4 linked regions of the Drosophila melanogaster genome follow. The protein of the gene in region 4 interacts with the protein of the main gene of each other region in a pairwise test. Each region holds a gene or a part of one and is shown on either strand. Other genes may lie near its edges.

Region 1 (6,150 bases), on a different chromosome or scaffold from region 4:
ACGGTGTGGCCACCGCCCGCCTGCTGTCCCGATCCGACTGGGGTGCCCGGCTGCCCAAGTCCGTGGAGCACTTCCAGGGTCCCGCGCCCTACGTCATCATCCATCACTCGTACATGCCGGCCGTGTGCTACTCCACTCCGGACTGCATGAAGAGCATGCGGGACATGCAGGACTTCCATCAGCTGGAGCGCGGATGGAACGATATTGGTTATAGCTTTGGCATCGGCGGCGATGGCATGATTTACACCGGCAGGGGATTCAATGTCATCGGAGCTCATGCACCCAAGTACAATGACAAGAGCGTGGGCATTGTGCTGATCGGAGATTGGAGAAGTAAGTTAACTCCTAACTTTAAGAGGATAGATTTCTTTTTAATACCGTTTAAAGAGTCATGGAAACTCATTAGGTTGTTAATGAGCCTTCTTCCTTCTCTTCATTTTCTTCTTAAACTCCGTACTAATTACTTTTCCTTATTTTCCCTTTAGCCGAACTGCCGCCCAAGCAGATGCTGGATGCGGCCAAGAACCTGATCGCCTTTGGCGTTTTCAAGGGCTACATTGACCCTGCCTACAAGCTGCTGGGCCACCGACAGGTGCGGGATACCGAGTGTCCTGGCGGCCGCCTGTTCGCCGAGATCTCCAGCTGGCCGCACTTTACCCACATAAACGACACCGAAGGCGTCAGCAGCACCACGGCGCCCGTCGTGCCCCACGTCCATCCACAGGCGGCAGCACCACAAAAGCCGCACCAATCCCCGCCAGCTGCGCCCAAGGTCTAGGCTGGATTGGAGGGCCCTCATCGTCCTCGCAAAGCTTACGAGTTTAAGAGAAGCCACAACGAGCTCGGCTCCACGCACAACGCCAAGGAGTTCATTCAGTATTCATTAGATGTCTCTTCTAACATTTCACAAATAAAGCAATTTCTAGATGATAACACTTAAACATAACCCCCGCTGTTGCTCTTTGTGTCCGCACAATCGACCCACCGCCCCATCGCCCCCCGCCCGCGTTCGCACTTGTCAAATCAAATAGCAATTAATTTGTGTCAAATTCGATTTCGATGGCAGAAGTTTTTGGACGACACGCGGCGCTGAAAATGTCGGCGACCCCGGCGCATCGAAAGGTTTTTCCAGCCATTTGACATTGGCTCGCCATGCGAGGTGATGCGTAGTGGTTTTGGGGTCCAAAAGTACCCGCCAATCCTCACATGCGGACGAAACCATTCTGGGAGCATTTTGGGACTGATGAATTAATAAGACCCCGGGGGAAGTCGCATCATATTGGCATTCCAACCCACAGCGCAATTGCCTTTAAGCCTATTTTTAAAGCCCCCCAATACATATGCGCTGTATTTTGCCAAATGAATAAATATATAATTAATATTGCCGAAATGCTGTTAGATAGACGGACGGACGGACAGCAAAAAAAAAAAAAAGAATAGCAATGGCCCGTTTAAGCGGAAATTTCTCGGCTATTTTGTGTGCGCGGGAATGTTTGCCGTTCAATTTGGCATACTTTTCGGCTGATGCTGACAAGGCAAAACAATTAGTGGCGTGCTTTCGCGCAGATGTGTATAAAAAAACGAAATATTTGAAAACATGCCATTGATAACCTACATTGCACGTTAAATAAATATTTGCGGCAGTGGCATAGACTTTAATCATTTGTTTTCGCTCTGTTGCAGCTATTGGATTGATTTCGGCGGCAGCAAGTAACTCAGTAACTCTTTTTATCGAAAACGATTCGAAAATGCTATCAAAATTAAATTAGTTCAATCGAACACTCCTGTGGAAACTCGATATGCAAATGGCATACATTATGTTACGTTGATAAGGTGATAAGAGGCTTACTCACTGATTCAGCTTATATTACCAGTTCATTAGTATCATCACCAATCAATTAGTCTAGCAATAGTTCAATCGATAAAGGGGTCCCCAGCATACAGATACGCACTGATCAAACGATCGATCGATCGATTGCACCGCTCCACCGAAATGTGGAGCACACGCGAGTGAAACGGGGAAGCAACCACTTGGTAGACAATGTAAATATTGAAAGCGATTCGGAGAGAACGAACGCATTGGGACAGAACTGACCATCGAACAGAAGCACTAATGGGTTTGGACTTTCTAGACGAGTGGTTTCTATCACAGGGTAAGACGCACCAACCACCCATCCACCAAACCACCCACTCCCCCTGAAATTAGCTGCGACGCCCACGCCGCCCGAGAAACTTGCGTAATTGTGGTCCATTGAATGCGAGGCGCCTGATAAGAGGCCCCTAATGATGAGCGGATATCGAGGGGGTTGTATCCTTGGGGCACACGGGCCACATAGCCAATAGCCGGCTATTAATAATTCCATTGAACTGCACCTGCCATAAGGTCAATTGGATCCGCCGCGGATCCGCCCCATATCCCCCCAAACCCCCACAGACCGTGCCCACATATCAAAAAAGATGCTAAAAATATGCCTCTGTCGGTCAACAAAATTTTCATTTCACTTCATTTTGTGCTCACCGAAATACGACGAAGAGATAATGAGCGAAATCCCACGAGAGAGGAATTCGTAGAGCGAGCGGGAAAATTTTCAAATTTTTCACCCATCGCCGTGGCGTTGGAAAATGTATGAATTTAGTTTTTGAAACGCCGTCATAGGCGCTGCTGTTGCCTTCGCTGCTGAAAATTCACTACCAGAGTTCGTGGCTGTGTGTGTGCGGGTGTGTGTGTGCCTGCGGTTGTGGTGATGTGCGGGTGTCTGACCCAACCAGCACACACGTACAATTCAAAGAGATATACAACATATATATATATATATGAATATATATCTGTGCAATATATAGTACAACGACGCGAACGTGCTACGAAAACTGCAGCGAGCGCGAATGAACCAATTAATACACATAATAAAAATCTGAAAAATCCGTGAAATATCCAAAAATATAGCATATAGCCACAGACACAGATTCGTGTACATTTGGGCGGCAATATGCGCAGCTCTTGTCACTGGCCAATCGATCTAATAAATCTCTCTGGAGGGGCGTTATGAATGGCCAGTTCCCAAAATATCCCGTCCGATATATTTGTTTTTTTTTTAAGCACTTTTGTTGACAGGCAATCTTAGGATGAAATATGGCCGGGAATTAGCTGTTAGTTGCCATTCTGAGCACAGATCCGCGAAACTTTTGCGTCAAATTAGCCAGTCTCATTAACAATTTTAATTGAAATTGCATTTTTGTTTCGTCCTCGCCTTAACTATCTTCTGGAATCCTCTGCAATGTTCGAAATACAGTCGTACTTCGATATAACTTCCCTTGCTTCGTGTGCTGTCAAATGGTCAATGGATCTAATTTACGAATCTGATTCAATTGCCAACCATTAATTAGTAATCGATAAGCATCGCTTAAGCTGGGAGTGGAAACAGCTTAGAATGCATTCAAAGCAAATTGGAACTGACAGATAGGCAACCAAATAGACGTCGGAAAAGATACTTTCGTCGGTTATTCTTGCAATGGAAGTTTGACTGTATTTCTAAGTATAATTTTTATTTGCATGTCATGTTTAATTAACGCCTCCATGCAGGAAAGACCGAGAAAGTGTTCGTCGCTCCGGCCAAAAAAAAATTTGCAATCGCCCCAAAACGAGTGGAATGGAAATGAATATGGTGAATGTGGGGGAGGGATGGGCTTCGACGAAGGGGGTTGGATGGTTTTGGACCAGGCCATGGAATGGCAATGGAATGAAACGAATTCGGATTTCATTCTGACCCCCGAGAGCGCCCCTTCTATCACAAATTTTTGGCCTTTTTTTTCCGTCCGTACAACCAGTTTTGTGTACGTTTTTCTGTCTACTTTGTGAAACGAGCCAGTTGAATAAAAACAAAACAAAGTGAATGGAAAAAAAGGCGAAAGACGAAAGCGCCAGAGATATGTATGTTTCCTTTTATTCTTTCGATTTGGTTCCGTTTTGTCTCTCCCAATTGGGTGCTTCTCTTCACCGCCAGTGTCTTTCACTTTTTTCCACTTTTTCCACTCTCAGCGGCGGGCACAAAGAACCTAAAATTAAATATTTTCGCCTTTTACATATCGCAGCCAGTGGCAGAGCAAATCGTTTCTGTTATTGTTTTTGTTGCTCTATTCCCATACACCGACGCTGTTGTTGCTGTTGTTCTTTTTGTTTGTGCTGTTTATTGGAGTGCATATGTACGGACGGACGGACGGACACACACACATACGCAGGCGTTTAGCTGGACATTCACATTCACAGCACAGTGGCGGCCAACATAATAGTGGTCACAGAAAGTTGCAGTTGCAAGCGAGAGGAATGTTTCGCTATCCTTTTGCCCAATTAGAGCAGGAAAAGTTGCAAATTGTTGTTTACAATCTGCCCAGGAATGAGGTCATTAAAAATACATAGAAAAACGGCAGAGGAAAATCGCGAGCCAAAGAAAACTCAGCAAGAGCGAATAGTTTCCATCTTCTGCACTTTACTTTATCAGCATTAAGTCAAGCTATAACTTTTCTCGACCATGAGTAATTGATTTAAAATTCATTTTATATGTAAACATTTTTCGTTCTATCGTAATTGGTTTTCGTATGAAAGAAATATTGGAAATCACCAGCAAATGGCACAATATGTTTGTTGAATAGTTCGGCATATAATACTTTTCTGAAAAGTAAACATTCCCAAAGCATTTTCATTTCATCGTTTTCGTTCAAATTATTTAAATTATTTGACAAGTTGAAAGTTTATAAGAAAACCTTGTTATCTTGACGGATAGGATGATCTCGATTTTATCGATTGCTATAAATATCCTGGAATTTAAACATTTGGCTGCAACTGTAGGCGTTTTTGTGAGAGCCTGCAAAAGCATTCCACTCAGTTGGGATTTGTTGATGCATTTGTCCCGGTCCCCATTGCCGACCGCCATCATCCCCATATCCTCTCTACATTCCTATTTCCATCACATTCGGCATCTGTGAATGTCCCTGTCCATGACTATGACACAAAGGCCTACATTCTGTCTCTTAGTAGAAACAGCGACAGAAACAAGAAAAACAGCCAGCAAAGCTAATGAGCGCATTCAGTTAAAAATAAAATTCAAAATGAAACATACCCAAATATACACGAAATGAAATGAATTGAATCGGATTGAAAGTATCTCAAACAGCTGTTGCTCATCGTCGGCAACGGACCACGAATAAAATTCCCAGCAACAAATTCGCGACGAAAAAAATACATAAAAATCTATTAGAAAAGAAATACGCGTAAAATAGAATTATCAAGGCGAGGCACATACACAAAAAAAATCAAAAAACAAATAGAAAAATAAACGAAAAAAATTACGGAAAATCTGAATGAAAGAACTTTTTCGGACAACTTCCCCCGACGGTGCTAATGTGCAAAGTTTTGTGTTTTCATCAGCAGCAACGCCAAGAGAAGCGGGAAAAACAAGCAAAGAATTCACGGCAAATTATTTAAAAAGAGTGTGCGAACAGACGGGCGACGACATCGGGCCCTGGAGAATTTAACACCAATAAGACTGGAAAAAAATATAAACCACCAGAGGGAATAGTCTAGAATAGTCCGGAGGACCGCAAGCAGTTCGAGCGACTACGAAATGCCGTTTGTGACGCCCCGTGCGGGGACAAGCAGTGCAAGCAGTGCGCCCGGCGGACGCACCACGTTCCGTCCGCCATGGGTGAAGGACGACGGCGGCACCAGTGGCACCAGCAGTACCACAAAGCCCACTGCCACTCCGTGGGCAAAGAAAACAGCGACGACGACGACCGCCTCTCCGGCAACAAAGGAAAATGGAGAAAAGCCGACTGTGGCCAAACCAAAAGCAACTGCTACCACGACTGCAGCCGCGAGGAAGACTTCGACCCCTGAACCGGCTAAGAAGACGATAGAGCCTGTAAAGAAATCTTCACTGGCCACAAGCACAACGGCGGCCAAGAAGACACCAGAACCCGTAAATACCAAGAAAGCACCGGAGCCAATCAAGAAAGTGGCGCCCACCGTGGGGCCCAAGAAGCCAGTAGCCACCACTTCAGCGCTCAAAAAGAAGAAGGAGCCGACACCACCACCCGAATCCTCCTCCGAGGAAGAAGAAAGCGAGGAGGAGGAAGAGACCGAAGAGGAAACCGAGT
Region 2 (4,448 bases), about 11 Mb from region 4:
TCACAGTAATGAGGTCCATGCAAACAAGGAAAACTAACACAGAATCCTTTTTAAGTATAGATCCACTAAATTGAATGTGCATAAAAAGAACATGTGCATTTTTGCACACATCCAATTACATTTTTTTTTCCAGGGGAATGCTTTGTCAAGAATATTTTGATAATATTTTATTTCGAATTTATGCATTTCTATTATGAAAATATAAATGAAATGATTCAGTCGCAAAATTGTTCTAGGCTGATAAAATTACAATTCATACATTGAAAGCGTATTTTGTAAAAATGTTTGTAGTCTTTTTGGAATAAACAAAGAAAAATATTTTACTCTTTAGATTTACAAATTATAATTATAATGTGTGTTCCACTTTCTAGAGCAACAGAAAAGAACAGACATTTCGAAAACATCATTGATATGCAGACTGTGTGCTTTGATTAGTGCAAAAATTAACTATGATAATAATATGTAGATAATTTAGCTAGAATTAAAAACTAGAAAAAACGCTATAGCCGAGTTCCTCGACTATCTGATACCCGTTACTCAACTAGTTCATTTGGCACATCAATAGATAGGAAAAAATGGTAATTAAACAAAAAAATATCAAAAGCATTTTTCAAAAGTGCAACGTCCCTAAAATCTGAATGCAATATAGATTGAAAATGCTCCTTCTATCTGTTTCATACATTCTAATAAGCCTAGCATACCCTATTACTGTACGATTAAGGGGTATAAAACTAGTTTTATTTCGGAAAGGTTTGGCTACCGTAAACGTAGAAACTTATCCAGATGTTGATAATTTGCAAATTTAAATATTGCAAACCCGAGTTTTAAGAAGCTTGACAATATATCAAGAGACGTCGGACTTCATTTGTGAAAAAATATCTTCGATTTATTAGACCTGCTGAAATTGAGTGTGTCACTCCGTAAGTGGCCAAATTCAAGACTTGTTGTGGGTGGCAAATGCAATTACTTAATTACATAAAAAAAGTAATCACACAAAAAAAAAAAACTCACAAATTGTTTGGATTTCCGGGTAAGCTGTACAAACAAATGATGAATGAAATGAGCTTAATGATTTTAAATATAAAAATAAATTAAATTAAAATTGAGATGCACTAACTATTTGCAAAAACTATATATATATAATGCATACTTTTCAGTTGTAATTCAAGTTGTTAGATACATTTTAAAACATAGTTTCTAATATTAGCTCCCGCTGTTAACTTAGTCTGTTTTTAGGAGGCTAGAGAAATCTTGTTTGACGTCATTAGATCTATAAATAATGCCCGACTCATAAACTGGTTATTAACCTAATATACGAAAACAACATCTTGGATTTCCAAAAACAGAATTAGCATTTTAATATTTATTGGTATTGGTATTGGTTTCAGTTTAGTAGGTCTGTCAGCGGACGTGCCCACTTTTCGAGAGTACAGTTATGAATCCGTTTCGAGCCTATCCATGTCTGCCATGTCCACCTCCACCTCCTCCGGAGCTGGCGTTGGCGGTTGCAGTGGCCGAGGCCGAGGCGGAAGCTGGGCCGCCTCCTCTGCTGTCGGCGGTTGCAGCGGCATTCGCGTTGGCAACTGCGTTCGAACCGCCGACTCCACCGACTCCACCGCCTCCACCGCCTCCACCGCGACCACCGCCACCACCGCCTCCACCGAATCCGCCGAATCCACCAGGATGTGCCTGAACGGCCACCAGGGCGAAGATTAGAAAAATGCAGATAGCCAGGAACTTCATCGTTAGAGATTGCGATGTTTTGTGATCGCGTGCTGGCCTCTTTTATACCAGCATCCGTGACAGGTGGACGACTTGTTTATCTGAAAAACAAAAAAAATCACAGAATCGATATTGTATCGGCATATATATGGGGGCTTCGATTAGCACATTAATTAGACATATATTAAAAACGCATGACGTTTAATATTACCTATATGTATAGTATATGCTTATATACTATGTTATCAATAATTGAAAACTGGTTAGCTTTGGCAAGCCATGTTTTGGTAAAGTATATTTTCAGGCTGTAAAAAAGCTCAGATAAATTCATTATGATAATCAGCTATAAAAACTAGTTTATCATGTAAGTCCTTAGATTTGCTTCTGTTTACACATTTTATACAAAATTCCTTTTCCGGTGATTACAACTTTTGAACCCGAAAATTATATATATATTCTTCACTTAATAAATAATAATTAAAAATTAATAAATTTATATTTATAGTATATTATACATAGAAGGTAAGGCCATTGTGTTGATAACGTTTGGCAAAAGTAATAATAGAAAAATGTCTTAGTCTTTATGCAATAATTATGCATTTGTTTATTTTTTAAAGCAATTGCCGTTTCTGGACTGCTGTTATCATCATTCCTTATCCGTAGTAAGCACCCGGACTGTAACCAACTGAGTTTGCGTTTGCATTAGCGTTGGCAGTGGCTACTGCGCCTCCACCACCACCGCCGTAGCTACCGGGTCCGCCGTAGCCACCGAGTCCTCCGTAGCCACCGGGTCCTCCATAGCCACCGGGTCCTCCGAAACCAACGCGTCCTCCTAAGCCGCCAAGTCCTCCCAAGCCACTGAGTCCACCGTGTCCTCCGTGTCCAAAGCCACCGTGTATACCAGGATATCCTTGGACTGCCACAATGGCAAGGAGCAGGATAGCGCAGAGTGCATATAATTTCATCGTGGGATGTCCCACTATCCTGTGTTTTTTTTTTTTCGTATGACAACTTAATTTCCATAATGAAACAAAGAAAGCAAAAATAAGTCTACTTAACTTGTTAACAATGGTTAACTAGAGCTTAAATATATAAGTGGCATAGTTTTCGGCTGTAACAGAAGTTGTTTTTATTTTCTGCGAATGAAGCTTTTATAGCCAGAGCTTACTGTAGCAAGCATACAGTGAGAAATATTTGCGAATCTTTTTGTTTTACAAATCAATCTACTGTAGTAATTTGGGTCATTAAATGTCCAGGATAAATTTATTCATAAGCAAGGAAAATGGAGAGATAGAGAAATTACTTCAATGTTATGATAGAAATAACTAATCTATTAATTTCATTTCTGCAATTGTGGTTACCATCTTAATATATATATTTTTCTTCATCCCGTTAAGCTTATGACTAACTGCCTGATATCGGTACATCCCACGACCTAGAGCTTACTAAGTCAGTTGGCTTAGTAAATAAAGGCCAGTTAAGTGGCCAAAAAAAAAAAAACCCGTATCGCCAAAACCTTCGATCCGCATTCATTCGAACCATATTCAACATGCAGTTTAGCGACTGCCGCTCAAGTTCAAATGGAAATTAGCGCTTGGTGTTTGTTTTATAGCCGATTGCTTTCAAATTCCATCGAGGGTGAGGCATAGCAAACGTGATACTCATTGCAAAACCCCCAAAAAAGCCCTGTGCTTCTTCATGGATTCATGGATTTTCACAAGCCGATCGATGAATGAATAATCTGCCAGGCGACCCAAGCCTGCAGACCTGACCACACCAAACCAGTCAGCTTGACTGGTCCACGTGTCTGTCCATCGGACTAACTGCGTCCATGCCGGAACATAAAGCCCAAAAATGTATGACGACAACTCTTGAGGAGATTGCCGGTTTTTCTTTTTCTGTTTTTTATTTTTTTTTTTGCAGGTGGGCAGCGATCAGCTTGTGGGCTGCTGAATGTCTGAGCTTGTGTTTGACTTGATTTCTTGGGTGCGCTGCTCGAACAATATACAAAATGATTCATATTCAGTGAATTAGATTTGAAAGAAGTCTATACTATATTGAATACTCTACATTGAATGCTCTATATTAAAAACTCTATATTGAATATTCAATTTTAGGAATAGACCCTACATAAACATGATTTAAATTATCTTTCCCTCTGCTACTATTAGAGGGTATCTTTTGGATCACCTCAGCCAATCACGTTTCGTTGCGGCAATATTATGTCCCATTTGAAGATCGATTTTCGGATCAACAATGTTTAAAATACCTACTAACGCTTTGTGCAATCGCCAAAACAAACACAAAACGAAAGATGGGTGTTCATGTTTTATTTATAATTTATAAAATCGCTTATCTCACGCATTTCTCCTCATTTTTGTCATTTGGCAGACCGTTCACAAATTTTGCACAATATTATTTTTGTTTTGTTTAATGTCTGTGCGGATTTGTATTTCCATCGATATCTTCTTACGCATCGTTATTTGTTTTTCTTTTTTTTTTTTGGTTTATCACACTGTGCGGATCGTCGCATAAAATTTAAATATTTTTGTTTATAACTCGTTTAGAATTGAAAATTGCCTAAAACAACCCGAGCATCAATCTCCACATAATGGCAAGTTGTCCGACCTTGACAAGGTCGTGTGGTGCTGACCACTCACGAGCGGTTGGTCCGCACCACAGACGAGTATCCGTAGAGCACCTCCACTCCGTCGGAGTTGAAGATT
Region 3 (6,042 bases), on a different chromosome or scaffold from region 4:
GTTCTTGGATCACAAGACACTTATAAACGAAGCATATGACGAATTTAAGCTCAAGTCCGAACTGTTCCAGTTCCATGCCAAAAAGACGGACAAAGGCATTGAGGAAGACAAGACCAGGAAGCGCAAAAGGAAAGCCGGCGTAGAAGATGCGTCGTCCTTGGAGGATTTACACTTAGTGAATGAATATCTAGAGCTTCTGAGCAAGCCCGTTGAACCGGAGGACAGTTCACCGATGAAGAGGCACTGGGAGGATGGCTACAACGTGCCCCAGTTGCATGGAGCCAACGAAAGTGGACGGATGCAGCGGTTTCTGAGAGTTGATGGATCCCGTGGCGTGTACTTGATTCCCAATCAATCCCGATTCTTCAACCACAATGTGGACAATCTGCCTGCACTACTGCACCAACTTCTGCCCGCCTACGATCTCATCGTGCTGGATCCTCCGTGGCGGAATAAGTACATCCGCAGGCTGAAGCGGGCCAAGCCGGAGCTGGGATACTCGATGCTGAGCAATGAGCAATTGTCGCACATACCGCTCTCGAAGCTTACGCACCCACGGTCACTGGTGGCCATCTGGTGCACCAATTCGACGCTGCATCAGTTGGCCCTGGAGCAGCAGCTGCTGCCCAGTTGGAATCTCCGGTTGCTCCACAAGCTCCGATGGTACAAACTTAGCACAGACCATGAACTAATTGCTCCCCCGCAGTCGGATCTCACCCAGAAGCAGCCTTACGAGATGCTCTACGTGGCCTGTCGCTCCGATGCTTCTGAAAACTATGGAAAAGATATCCAACAGACCGAGCTGATCTTCAGCGTGCCCAGCATTGTGCATTCCCACAAGCCACCACTGCTGTCTTGGCTGAGGGAGCACCTCCTGTTGGATAAGGACCAGCTGGAACCAAACTGCCTGGAGCTGTTTGCCCGATATCTGCATCCCCACTTCACTTCAATTGGCTTAGAAGTGCTCAAACTGATGGACGAAAGGCTATATGAAGTCCGTAAAGTAGAACATTGCAACCAGGAGGAGGTAAATTAGCTACGCCTAATTATTGTATTTAATTTTTACAAGTACCTCATTAAATAAGGGATTTATAAGCAGCTATGAGTTTTAACAATTTTATTTGTGTACTGTTAATGAGAGCAAATGCATTTGAATTTTGTGTGTAGGCGGCCGGCGGATGGGTTTCCTTCTTCCAGAGAAGCCAACGATGCCTGGCTGAAGCTAAATGTTAAACATTTGGGGTGGCGTGTGTGGGATTTTGTTTTGTTTTTTCTTTTGAGTGTTAAATTAAGTATTAAAGGATAGTAAGCATTATTAATACACGTGGTTAATCGCAGGCTACTACTCCTGACCCTGGGCCATGGCCGCCGGATTGGTGGGCTCGTTGCCGCCGCGTTTCTTTGATCCAGAGACGATATCATCGATGCGCAGCAGCAGGATGGCCGTCTCCACGGCGGTCTTGTAGGTCTGAAGCTTGACGGCCAGCGGCTCCCAGATGTTCTTCACGTTCATGTCCACGATTTCGCCGGACTCGCCGTCGATGCCCCAGGCGCAGACACCATCGCCGGTGTGGGAGGCGTGCTTGGCGCGGAGAGCAGTCAGAGCACGGATCGTGTTGGCGCCGCAATTCTGAGCCAGTGTGCGCGGTATGATCTCTAGGGCGTGGGCCACCGCCGTGTATGGTCCCTTAACCTGCTTGCGCGTGAGCAGCTGGGAGGCAGCCATCTCAACGGCTCCGCCGCCAGCCACCAGGCGTGGCTCCAGCACCAAGTTGCGGGCCACGTGCAGGGCGTCCTGCAGGTTGCGCTCCGTTTCGTTCAAGATGTCCTTGCTGGCACCGCGCAGCAGGATGGTGCAGGCCTTGGGCTCCTTGCACTCCGTCACGAAAGTGAAGTACTCATCGCCGATCTTTTTGACTTCGAACAGTCCAGCTCCCGTGCCCACATCCTTCTCGGTTAGCTCCTCAGTGCGGTTCACGATGGTGGCACCACAGGCGCGGGCGATGCGCAGATTGTCAGTCTTACGCAGCCGACGGATGGCCGTGATGCCAGCCTTCAGCAAATAGTGCTGGGCGAGATCGGAGACACCCTTCTCAGTGAATACCAAATCCGGTTTCACGGCAATGATGTCGGCGCAGATGCGCTGCACAAACTCCTCCTCGATCTGCAGCATGCGGGTGAAGTCTTGCTCCCCGATTATCTCCACGTTGGTTTGGCTCTCGCCCTTCTTGTACTCCAGCGAGCAGTCAAGCAGCACGATGCGGGGATTCTCGATGAGGCGTCGCATCTTGGGATGCGTCACGTCTTTGTTGATCATCACGCCCTTAAGAACACACGACTCCTCGATGGCGCCACCCGGGATCTTCTCCACCTTGGCATAGCTGTGAAAGTAACAAAGTTAAAATTATTTATTCAAAAATAATATGCATAACAAATTTCGTTCTTACCGTTTAATGTCTACCTCCAGACGGCCGTTCTCACTTAGCGTCACTGTCTCGACTGCGTCCAGGGCAATCTTGACGGCAAGGTCGGACCACTTGCCAATGAACTTGGTGCCCACACAGGCCTTGACCACATCGGCCATCTTGGCCTTATCCTTGACGTCCAACTGGATGCTAAGCTGGGACTGCAGGTGGCCGACGATGTCCTCGAGGGCCTCGCGATAGGCGCGAATGATAACAGTGGGGTGGATCTGTTGCTGGAGGAAGGGCTCGGCGGCGGCCAGCATCTCGCCGGCCAGGACGATGACCGATGTGGTACCATCGCCAACCTCCTCGTCTTGTGTGCGAGCAATTTCAATCATGCTCTTGGCCGCCGGGTGCTGCACAGTGATCTCACGCAGGATGGCGTTGCCATCGTTGGTCATCACGATGCCGCCCATTGGGTCCATCAGCATCTTCAGCATGGCCTGTGGCCCCAGACATGTGCGTATCACATCGGCGATGGCCTGGAAAAAGACGTTTTAATCAACAGATGGTCGGAAAACGCGAGAACACAAAAACCCAAGACCCAGACATGTGAGTCACGCATACCTTTCCGGCTTGGATGTTCTCCAACTGCACTTTGCGGCCCGATTCTCTCTTTGTGTTTTGACCTGTCGGCGGGTAATTCGATTGCAATTGGGCTCTACGACGTGCAAATTTCATACTCACTCAACACGAGTATTGGCTGCTGTCCACCGAACATCTTTCTGGCTGTTTAATTTATTTCTGCGTGAAAACAATTGAACTCGTGCTGGCGCTGCCGCTGTTTGAAAGAGAATGAGTGAGGTTAGAACCGCCGATGACACATTATTCGAGAAGGTTCGATAGGATATTGAGCGGACCGGCTTGTTAGTTACTTCTGCCAGTTCCTTCTTCTAGTTTCTTTTCTTTCCTCACTTACTGCTAACTGACTTTTGCGATCGCTTATAAGTTTAATTCAAATTCTCCACAATTCGAAGCAGCAGCTCTCTTAAGAATCGATATCGAGAAACAGTATACTTACACTATGCAGCTTTTGTTATCGATGTCACAGAATTACATTCGTCATAACTGCGATTTTTTGAAGGCGCCTAACTTGGTTTTAAATTTTCCACCCTGAGGTTTAAGCGAAATCAAAACATTAAACTTGTAACAATAAATAATATTTTCTACGGTGTAAGTGATACTGGAAATTAATTTATATTACGAATGGATTTTAAATTTATGTTATATAGCATATTTCTATCACATCATAATTAAAATGTGGAAATTTTGAAGCCTAAAAAGCCTAACCAACTAAACTCAAAAGAAGTTAAAATATAATTTATGAAAATTGTATCACCTTCGAAAAAGAAAATGTTGGAGGATATTCTGAATATAACGGGGGAAAAGTGATTACTTGGAATGATGAGTTACATAAACAGCGTCGAACTTTTTAATATTTGAAGATCCTGTGCTGTATTCAATAAAACTGCTCAAAACGTATTAAATGGATTTCATGGTAGTTTTTATATATAAATGGAAAAACAAATAAGTTTTGCAAATACTTTAAAAGTGTAGTGTAAGCGTTTCATAAATTAAATAAATTATCGATATCGATAACAAACCGCGAGTCAGCTGTGGCCTGTTTGTTTACGATACATTTCGGCTTCAATTTGTTTTTAATAGTTATTAATTTTTTAACTAGACAACATGGAGGCCAAGAAGATATCTTTTGGCTTTAGTAAATTGTCCAAGAAACCAAACATTCTGCCCAGCAAGCAGCCGAAAGAGGAAAGCAAGGTGGAGTTGATAAAATGCTTGGAAGGAAACGAAATCATGCCAGTCGAGTAAGTTAAAATATCTTGAAATAGTTTTATACTCATATGTAATATTTAGCGAAAAGGTGGAAGCTGCTCCTCTTACCATCAAAATGATAGGCATGCAGAAGACTTCGTCCGCTTTGGCGAGTCTGATGAGGAGGCGGGCAGTTCTGCTGGGCGAGGAGGAACCGGATCCAGAGGAGGTGACTCCAGTGGCTCAGTCTATAGCAGAGGTCACCGCAGGCGGTCCAACGGAGAGTCTGGAACAGAGAGCAGCTCGGGAATTGATATCTGCCATCCAAAATAACGGTGCCGAAGGCCTAGATGACCAGAAACTTGTCCTGCCCGCCCTAAGCGCAGACGAACTGCCTCTCGATGGTGCCAAGGAGGCAACACTAGATGACTATGACAACATACCGATACAACAATTTGGCCTAGCCATGCTGCGCGGCATGGGCTGGGTTGATCCACCGCCAAAAAAGAAGGGCTCAGGACCCATCGATGATGCCCCCTTTCTGCGACCCAAAGGCATGGGCCTGGGAGCAGATAAGGCGCTCAAACCTAAAGCTCTACTGGTCCAGCCGGAGAAGAACGAGGTACTGGAGATTAAGAAGCAGGCGTACGTGCGCATTCTGGGCGGAAAGCAGAAGGATCAGTATGGCCAAATCCAAGGTTTTGATGACCATGCAGGGCGAGTAATTGTCAAAATGGCAATTGGAGGGGCCAAAGAGGCGTTCAACGAGTTCCTTTGTCAGCCCGTATCCCGCAAGGAGTACTCTCAGTATGGCAAGTGCATAAGTAAGTGGAGCCTGGAAAATGCAAATCCTTTATATTTGTGACATTTTTATATTTCTTTTACATTTACTTTCAGACACTGCCAAATACGAAGAATTCAAAAAAAATGAAAACGAGCATGGCCAGATTATTGTGAAGCAGGAAAATCCGTCAGGAAGAAGGGACAGAGACCGCAGGGAAGAAATTAGATCAGACCGGGATGAAGCTCAAAATCAAAAGAGTTCGAAGCCAGGGGACCAGAGATCTAGTAAAGAAGACTATCGCATGAAATGCAAGGAAGAAGATAAAAGGTCTTACAAATATGAAGACAAAAAAACGTACAAAGACGAACATCGCAGGACGTACAAAGACGAGCGAAAATCGTACAAGGAAGCCAAATCTAACAAAGAGGAGGTGGATCGAGAAAAGAAGTATGTGCGGAGTGGTAGCTCCTCTGTATCTAAACGCGAGGAACGTGAGCGTCGTCGTTCGCCGAGTCCCAGAGGCAGAAGCCCATCTAAGTCGAAGCGGGAAGACCGTGACCAAAAGCGTTCGCAAAGTCCCCGAAGCACCAGAAGAACAAAGAGTAGTTCAGACGAGGCAGACGATACGGGAGAGTCCACCGAGAGCGACTCCGACTCTGCATATGAACGCAGGAAGCACAAGAAGAAATCATCCAGCCACAAGTCAAGAAAACACTCAAAGAAGTCCAAGAACAAGTCGAGAAAGGCGGACAACGACTCCAGCTTAGAGAGCGATGACAGCCTCGGTGAAAACCATCGTCGTCACCACAGCAAGCACAAAAAGAAGACCAAGAGGAGCAAGCATGTCAGGTCCCGCACGCGATCAAGGTCAAGAGACCGTCAGTGATTGATCTATTTAGTTGAAATCTTTATTTAAATATAGTTCATTAGACGCTTAAGTTCCTTTTTTTATCTTACTTGGGATTATCATAAATTTCAATTAACTCACAAAATAATCACAAAAATGCCTTGTCTTTTGTT
Region 4 (6,126 bases):
CTTCCAGAGCCGCGTGCCCGCCGTTTTTTTCCTGGCTTAAGGTACTTTAGCAGAGGCATTGTGGAGCCCCCCAGCACTAGCGTGGTAAATAGCACAATGATTAATCTGAAATTTTAATTCTTCAATGACTGAGCATTATTTTACAATCCGGAATATGCTTACGTTGTTGTTATGATGACGTGTCGTTTCTCCTGGCTGTCAAGATTCAAGTGCAAAGATAGCGCGTAGGAAATCGCTCCGCGTAGGCCAGAAAACCACATAATGAACTGCATCTTGTTATTGATCTTATGCTCGCGAAATTTGTTGACCAAGAACGCGAGCGGAAAAATATTGCAGGCGCGGCCAATTAAGCAAAGCACAATGGCCCATATAACAAAAGATAGTTCAACTTGGTGTTTAAAAGAAAAGATTGCTAATCCCAGATAAGCAAACACGCAGGTCTCAGCAATGAAAGCTAGTGTCCTCATCGTCTGCTGCATGGTAATTTGGGTAACCTACGATTAAAAAAGTTTTAATAATATATAAAATAGGGATATCATATGACTTACAGTGGATAGGTTGAAATGCGTGTAGTGGGACATGACGATTCCGCAAAATAGTATAGCCATAATACCTATAGTTGAAAAAAATGTTTAGCTTTTAGAGTCATAGTCAACAACATTGATATACCGCTTAAGTGTATTCCCTCTGCCAAGACGTAAGGTGCGTAAGTAAACATTAGCATCATCGCGAACTCGAGGGATGGATGCTTTCGTAAATCGATGTGCTTCAGAAGAAGAGCCGAAATTAGTGCAAATATGACTCCAATGCCCGCCGAAGCAAAGAACATCGCGCAAAAGGTCTTCAACGCGCTGAACATGGCTTCTCCAGTGCTGGCCTCAGCATTGACGTTAGCGGATTGGGTTATGGATGCAGTCAGCACAATAGATATGGCGTCGTTGAGGATGCTTTCGCCGAATACCAACATGTTGAGTATGGGGTCTACGTCAAGAGCATGGAAAATTGCCACTGTTGCCACAGGATCAACAGCAGAGATGAGAGAACCGAAGGCAAAGGATTCCGAAAAGCTTAGGCTAAAATTTAGGATAAATTATTGAATGAAATTGACAATTTATTTTAAACTTGCCGAAATGCCACCTCCCCCAGGCCCAGCAGGTAAATCCCCGCCCCGATGACTAGTGCAGAAATTGTTGTACCGAATATGGCAAAGACCAGTATGGATCCGATGTTCTGAAAGAAGTTTCCCTTGTGCAGATTGTAACCGGACTCGAATATAATGGGCGGCAGGAGCACCAGAAAGAAGCCCATGGGCGAGAAGACCTCTTCACGTTTCCAACTGCCATTCTGCCCAGACATAACGTTCAGCGAAAGGCCAATAAAGGCGCCCAGAAAGACTACCACAATGCTTTCTGGCAGGTACTGGAACCCGGTCTGGAGCATAGAGTGGATAAGCAGGATGCCCAACATGATAACGCAGATGACGAAAAACAGTGAGAGTGAGGAGTTGTGCTCCTGCTCGACAGCATGGGAATCGATTAGAGGCGGATCTGTGACCAATGTGGATGCGTTTCCCCTTTTCGTGGTGCTTGCATTACCAGATGCAGAAATCGAGGGCGTGACATTTCCAAGCGGACTGTTGACGAAGACATCCGAAACGGTGTGGATAGAGCTACTATTATCTGTAGTGGTGGTGTTGCTTGATGTTTTGCTTTGGGGCACCTCCTGTCCACTGATGCTTTCCGGACCCGCGTGCACCAACAGTAAGAGTGCAGCTGCACTATAAGCTACCCAAACCCTCATTTTTGCCGACAAAACGTGACGTGGTCGCTATTAACGCTCGCATTTAACTTTTCACTATTTGTTCAATTTGTTTTTTCACAAACATCTGTTTATCGCCCTATCTGACGTATATCGGGGAGAGTTGCCGTATCATTTTGGCTTATTGGCGCGTGCCTTTCATATATTCAAAAGAAAATTGTGCACTTAATTGCGTGCAGTATATTTTACCATATAATGAATTTATTTAAATAATTGGCTTTTGCCCAGTCATTGTAGCTGATAGCTCTTGTGAAGTGTCTTGAAAATTGAGCATTTTAAGTTTAAATATTTTTGTCTACGTATTGAGAACGTTTCTTACGGCAAAAAGAAAATTATATATGTATTAGAAAAGTGAAATAATAAAAAACCTTGTTATTGGCAAAGTGATAAATTGTTTAGTTAAGGCTATTACAATAACTGACGATAAATCAGTAAAATAAATGCATTGCCACAATCTACAGTTCGCAAGCACCCACCATTTGTGCTCAAGAATAATGTGCCCTGCGCATCTGTTCGTTCAGGCACACGCGATCTTCTTAGGCCCCGTGGGGTCACACCTTATTTGAAAGATAATGGGGCTTGTTGTTTTCGGTTATATTCAGTGGGTATTAGAATTTTAAAAAATGTACATGCAAAAACTGATTACCAGGCTCCTTGATCTTGGCAGACCTTGTTTGTCTTCTTGGCTGTGGCATGACGTAAGCACTTTTTCAAAAGCACAAATTGTTCGAATAGTATGAGAACCCTAATTGACGACTTTCCTTGACAAGATAGTGTCGAACGATCCATCTCCAAAAGGGCAGTCACTCCATGTTAGGGAAAAGCTAGGGTTTCAACAGATACAGACATTCGTTTAAAAATTCGCTTCGAATTGCGCTTCGTGTAGCGATTGTCTATATCATCGAATATGTATATGTCAATTGCTGTACATAAGAGAAGCCGAGAGAGCAATGCTAAACAGATTTTAAAAATTAGGTATATAGGTGGCTGCCGTGGTAGCACATAGTTTTGTTCTGATAAGCTCTTATTTCTTGCCGACTCATCTTCTCAAATGCTGTCTACAAAAATTTATAAATATTATTCGTCTGTAAAAATCATCCGCAGTTGAACGCAGGTTGAGCAGGAAGCTAGTCGAGACTATAATCCATATCTTGTCTGATCCTTTGTTCAAAACCACAGTGAGTATAAAATAAAGGATCTGGATCTAGATTCACTACAGTTCACTCCGGAGCGGGGTGGCAACGCTGGGCGGCGGAACAGCTGCTTAAAACCCAAAAACGTGGAGATACTGAAGAAGTAAAATCATTTGAGAGTACCGAGAACGCTAGGAAAGTTTCCCTAAAGAGCGCCCAAATAAGTCTCAAAATAATAATCGAGTCAGCCGAAGAGAACCGCCTCCTCCGTTTGCGACGATAAGCAAAAGCCCGCTCTCTCGTTGGAGGTATAAATTCTGAATGGCATTAAAAAGTTGCGCTCTTTTTCTTCAGAACCGTCGCTAAGATAGGACGTGTGTTGGCTGCGCCGCTGATTTGGTTGCCGTCGCTGAACCAGTATAACTCAGAATCAGTGTGTATAATTTGTTGAACTAATAGCTAGAACGTCGAACACGCATTTTAAACAGCTAGCAGCACCGAGCCCTCACCTAGCGACTAGTTTAGCTTTGAACCCGCTCAACGTGCGTCTCATGTATGTAGCGACGATTGTGGCAAACGCGCAGCATAAAAACATAAAAGAAGGGCGATTATATAAAAAAAACTATAACGAAAAGTGTGCGAATACCGGAAAATCCCAACAGCCTCGAGGCGGCCTATAGCTTAGATTCGCGAATGCGAAAATAGATGTGTTTTGCAAGAGTTCGGAAAATCAATTTCGTTAAGCGTTTTTTAACAACCGCTAATGTGGCCTCTCTTTCTCTCTGTTCCCCCAGCTCCACCAACAATTTAGCCGACCGGAACTCGGGTTATAGCACTGCTCCCCCATTGCCCCTTCAAACTTCGAGTTACATATTACAAACTACCCATCAACATGCCGCAAAAGACAAACGGACATAGCGCCAACGGATGCAACGGCAGCAATGGCAACTCATATGACATGGAAGACGGAGCTACATTCCTGTTCACTTCCGAGTCCGTTGGCGAGGGTCATCCAGGTGAGTGCTTCATTGCATCTGCGGCGCCTCCTATTGCATCATACCGATAGTGTCAGTGTAAAAAAAGAAACAATCTCAAATGCCCCTTCGGGCGTGGTGAGAGATGTTGCCTGTCAGTTCTCATAACCTGACCAAACTGATTCTCTAGCGTCTGAGGCCCTTCTGTCTGAAGTCCCTTTCCCTGTATACCCAGTTCCACACCTCCACCGTCTACTCACTTCTGCTTACCGCCTGAACTCTAACAAAATGGCGACGAAATTATGTCCATACCTTTGTTGATTTCTACCCAATTTGCACGACTTGAACAGAGGCTGAGAACGGGAAGAAGAGCTAGTAAAACGTGCCTCTGTTGCATCGCCCGGTGACCAAGCCGGAAAGCTGGGACCACGGAGAACAGCTGGCTTCTCTTGAAATCCCCGCACAACAGCGGGCTAAACCTTGTGCTTGGATGGGCAGACGCAATTAATAGACTGGTTCTTTATCGTTTGCGGCTCTCACATATGTATGTATGTGTGTACAGAGAGACTACGTCATGCGCACCATGTGCTTGTGGCTCATGGGAGATGCGAAATTCAAGTATTCTCTACGTTGTTCTACGTTGTCCACGCACTTGTTCATTTGATCGCAGATGGCGATCAAAACAACGGCCAACACAAACATACCTTACATTTTTCTAGACCGCTGTCAAAGCTTATTTTTTTCACCGAAATTGCCAACCACGTGTTTTGCTCGAGCTCGATCTTTTCGCCCCTCCCAGAGTTTGTTTATATCAGCAGTGGCGACCAGTATAGTAGTGTGTTTGACAACAGCTGTTGATAAGCCGAGCGACCTTTTATACTACGCATTGATTACTTTTACTATTCTATACTATTTTATTTTATAATGCTAATTAAGTCGGCTTGGCAAGCTAGCCCTAGACAATCTAGCCCTATACAATCGTGATGATAAGCGCCGAGTGCCATTCAGAAGAATACACCCCAAATGGTTGACATTAATATCGCCTGTCTTTTTGTAATAAATGAGTGACGGACTTGTTAGAATAGATAATTAGACTAGCCGGAAATTGGAAACCCTGAAACCCATTTCAGAGTAGCTACTTTAAACCCTTGACCTAACTAGTTTCCTCGCAATCATTATCCCAGCCGAAATCGATACCATGCGCCATTTCTATGAGTCAACAGTTTTGGTAATTTATGTTGCTATTGCTGACGCATGTTCGAGTTCAATAACGCCTTTACTACGAAAAGTAGCCGAATGTTGACGGACTCCAATTACGCGCCAAGTTTTGAGGCAAGCGCGAGCAACCCGACTGGTATCAGATGAATCCGACTCCCAGGATTTCATGGACGATTCGGCTTCAAATGTCATCATTTTGTGTTTGGACAACACTACGGTCGCCTTATGCTCTTGTTCTGGGAATTGAATTTCGCTGTCAATAGCAGACAGATTAAATGAAACCGCATGGCCCAGCAAATTTTGATCCGTCGCACTGAATAACATTTTGGCCCGTTCCTCCTTCCACTCCCCGACAAAAATGCTTTCCCCTCCTTCTTCGCCCACCTCTGGCTTACCTCTTGCTTACCTTATTTTTTTTAGACAAAATGTGCGACCAAATCAGCGACGCTATCTTGGATGCCCATCTGAAGCAGGATCCAAACGCGAAGGTGGCGTGTGGTAAGTGTTATGAAACCTGGAGTACATGACTGCTCTGACCCAAAATCAGATTTATATTAAATTCGGCCAATGAAGGTGCGCTGACCAACAATAAATAATCTCATTCATAGAATTAATCAAGAATCACCGTGAGTGCCATTCTTTTTGAAGTTGACTTATTCGATAGCGCCAACATAAAAAAACAAGGTCAAACCACCGGCAAATCTGTTTTTGGATTACCTGAAAAAGTTGCCGAAATTTCTTTTAACACATTCCATAATATTTAATACAGAAACCGTCGCCAAGACGGGCATGATTCTGCTGTGCGGCGAGATCACGTCTAAGGCTGTGGTCGACTACCAGAAGGTTGTTCGTGAGACAGTGCAGCACATTGGTTATGATGACTCCTCCAAGGGTAAGTGTCTATTAGGTACATAAACAATTTGTGGGCGGGTATTACAATTCGTTCCCTACGTCGGTCCTACGAACAATACTGTCAACTCAAT

What was found.
Region 1: the proteins of Sam-S (region 4) and sals interact in a two-hybrid assay, tested with the Drosophila melanogaster proteins (one large-scale study listed by BioGRID).
Region 2: the proteins of Sam-S (region 4) and CG17107 interact in a two-hybrid assay, tested with the Drosophila melanogaster proteins (one large-scale study listed by BioGRID).
Region 3: the proteins of Sam-S (region 4) and CCT3 interact in a two-hybrid assay, tested with the Drosophila melanogaster proteins (one large-scale study listed by BioGRID).

Annotation. Positions count from the first base shown.
Region 1 is NT_033777.3:11,447,635-11,453,784, reverse strand, and holds the start of sals (sarcomere length short), read left to right. Parts: upstream 1-2,634; 5' UTR 2,635-2,696; exon of another isoform or gene 2,697-2,718; intron 2,719-5,422; 5' UTR 5,423-5,618; coding exon 5,619-6,150. Other genes in the region: PGRP-LB (peptidoglycan recognition protein LB), read left to right, coding at 1-333, 486-778.
Region 2 is NT_033779.5:10,679,286-10,683,733, reverse strand, and holds CG17107 (uncharacterized protein), read right to left. Parts: upstream 1,769-4,448; 5' UTR 1,744-1,768; coding exon 1,453-1,743; 3' UTR 1,206-1,452; downstream 1-1,205. Other genes in the region: CG17105 (uncharacterized protein), read right to left, coding at 2,376-2,687; CG17104 (uncharacterized protein), read right to left, coding at 4,379-4,448.
Region 3 is NT_033777.3:16,645,040-16,651,081, reverse strand, and holds CCT3 (chaperonin containing TCP1 subunit 3), read right to left. Parts: upstream 3,478-6,042; 5' UTR 3,187-3,477; coding exon 3,153-3,186; intron 3,095-3,152; coding exon 3,033-3,094; intron 2,948-3,032; coding exon 2,448-2,947; intron 2,382-2,447; coding exon 1,343-2,381; 3' UTR 1,104-1,342; downstream 1-1,103. Other genes in the region: Mettl4 (methyltransferase like 4), read left to right, coding at 1-1,036; CG10324 (uncharacterized protein), read left to right, coding at 4,155-4,291, 4,341-5,062, 5,136-5,908. UniProt on the Drosophila melanogaster protein: Molecular chaperone; assists the folding of proteins upon ATP hydrolysis. Known to play a role, in vitro, in the folding of actin and tubulin.
Region 4 is NT_033779.5:104,843-110,968, forward strand, and holds the start of Sam-S (S-adenosylmethionine synthetase), read left to right. Parts: upstream 1-2,060; 5' UTR 2,061-2,158; intron 2,159-2,918; exon of another isoform or gene 2,919-2,922; 5' UTR 2,923-2,996; exon of another isoform or gene 2,997-3,504; intron 3,505-3,745; 5' UTR 3,746-3,843; coding exon 3,844-3,967; intron 3,968-4,751; exon of another isoform or gene 4,752-4,908; coding exon of another isoform or gene 4,909-4,951; intron 4,952-5,563; coding exon 5,564-5,641; intron 5,642-5,912; coding exon 5,913-6,035; coding exon of another isoform or gene 6,036-6,058; exon of another isoform or gene 6,059-6,126. Other genes in the region: Nhe1 (Na[+]/H[+] hydrogen exchanger 1), read right to left, coding at 1-105, 163-494, 549-613, 670-1,073, 1,127-1,800. UniProt on the Drosophila melanogaster protein: Catalyzes the formation of S-adenosylmethionine from methionine and ATP. The reaction comprises two steps that are both catalyzed by the same enzyme: formation of S-adenosylmethionine (AdoMet) and triphosphate, and subsequent hydrolysis of the triphosphate.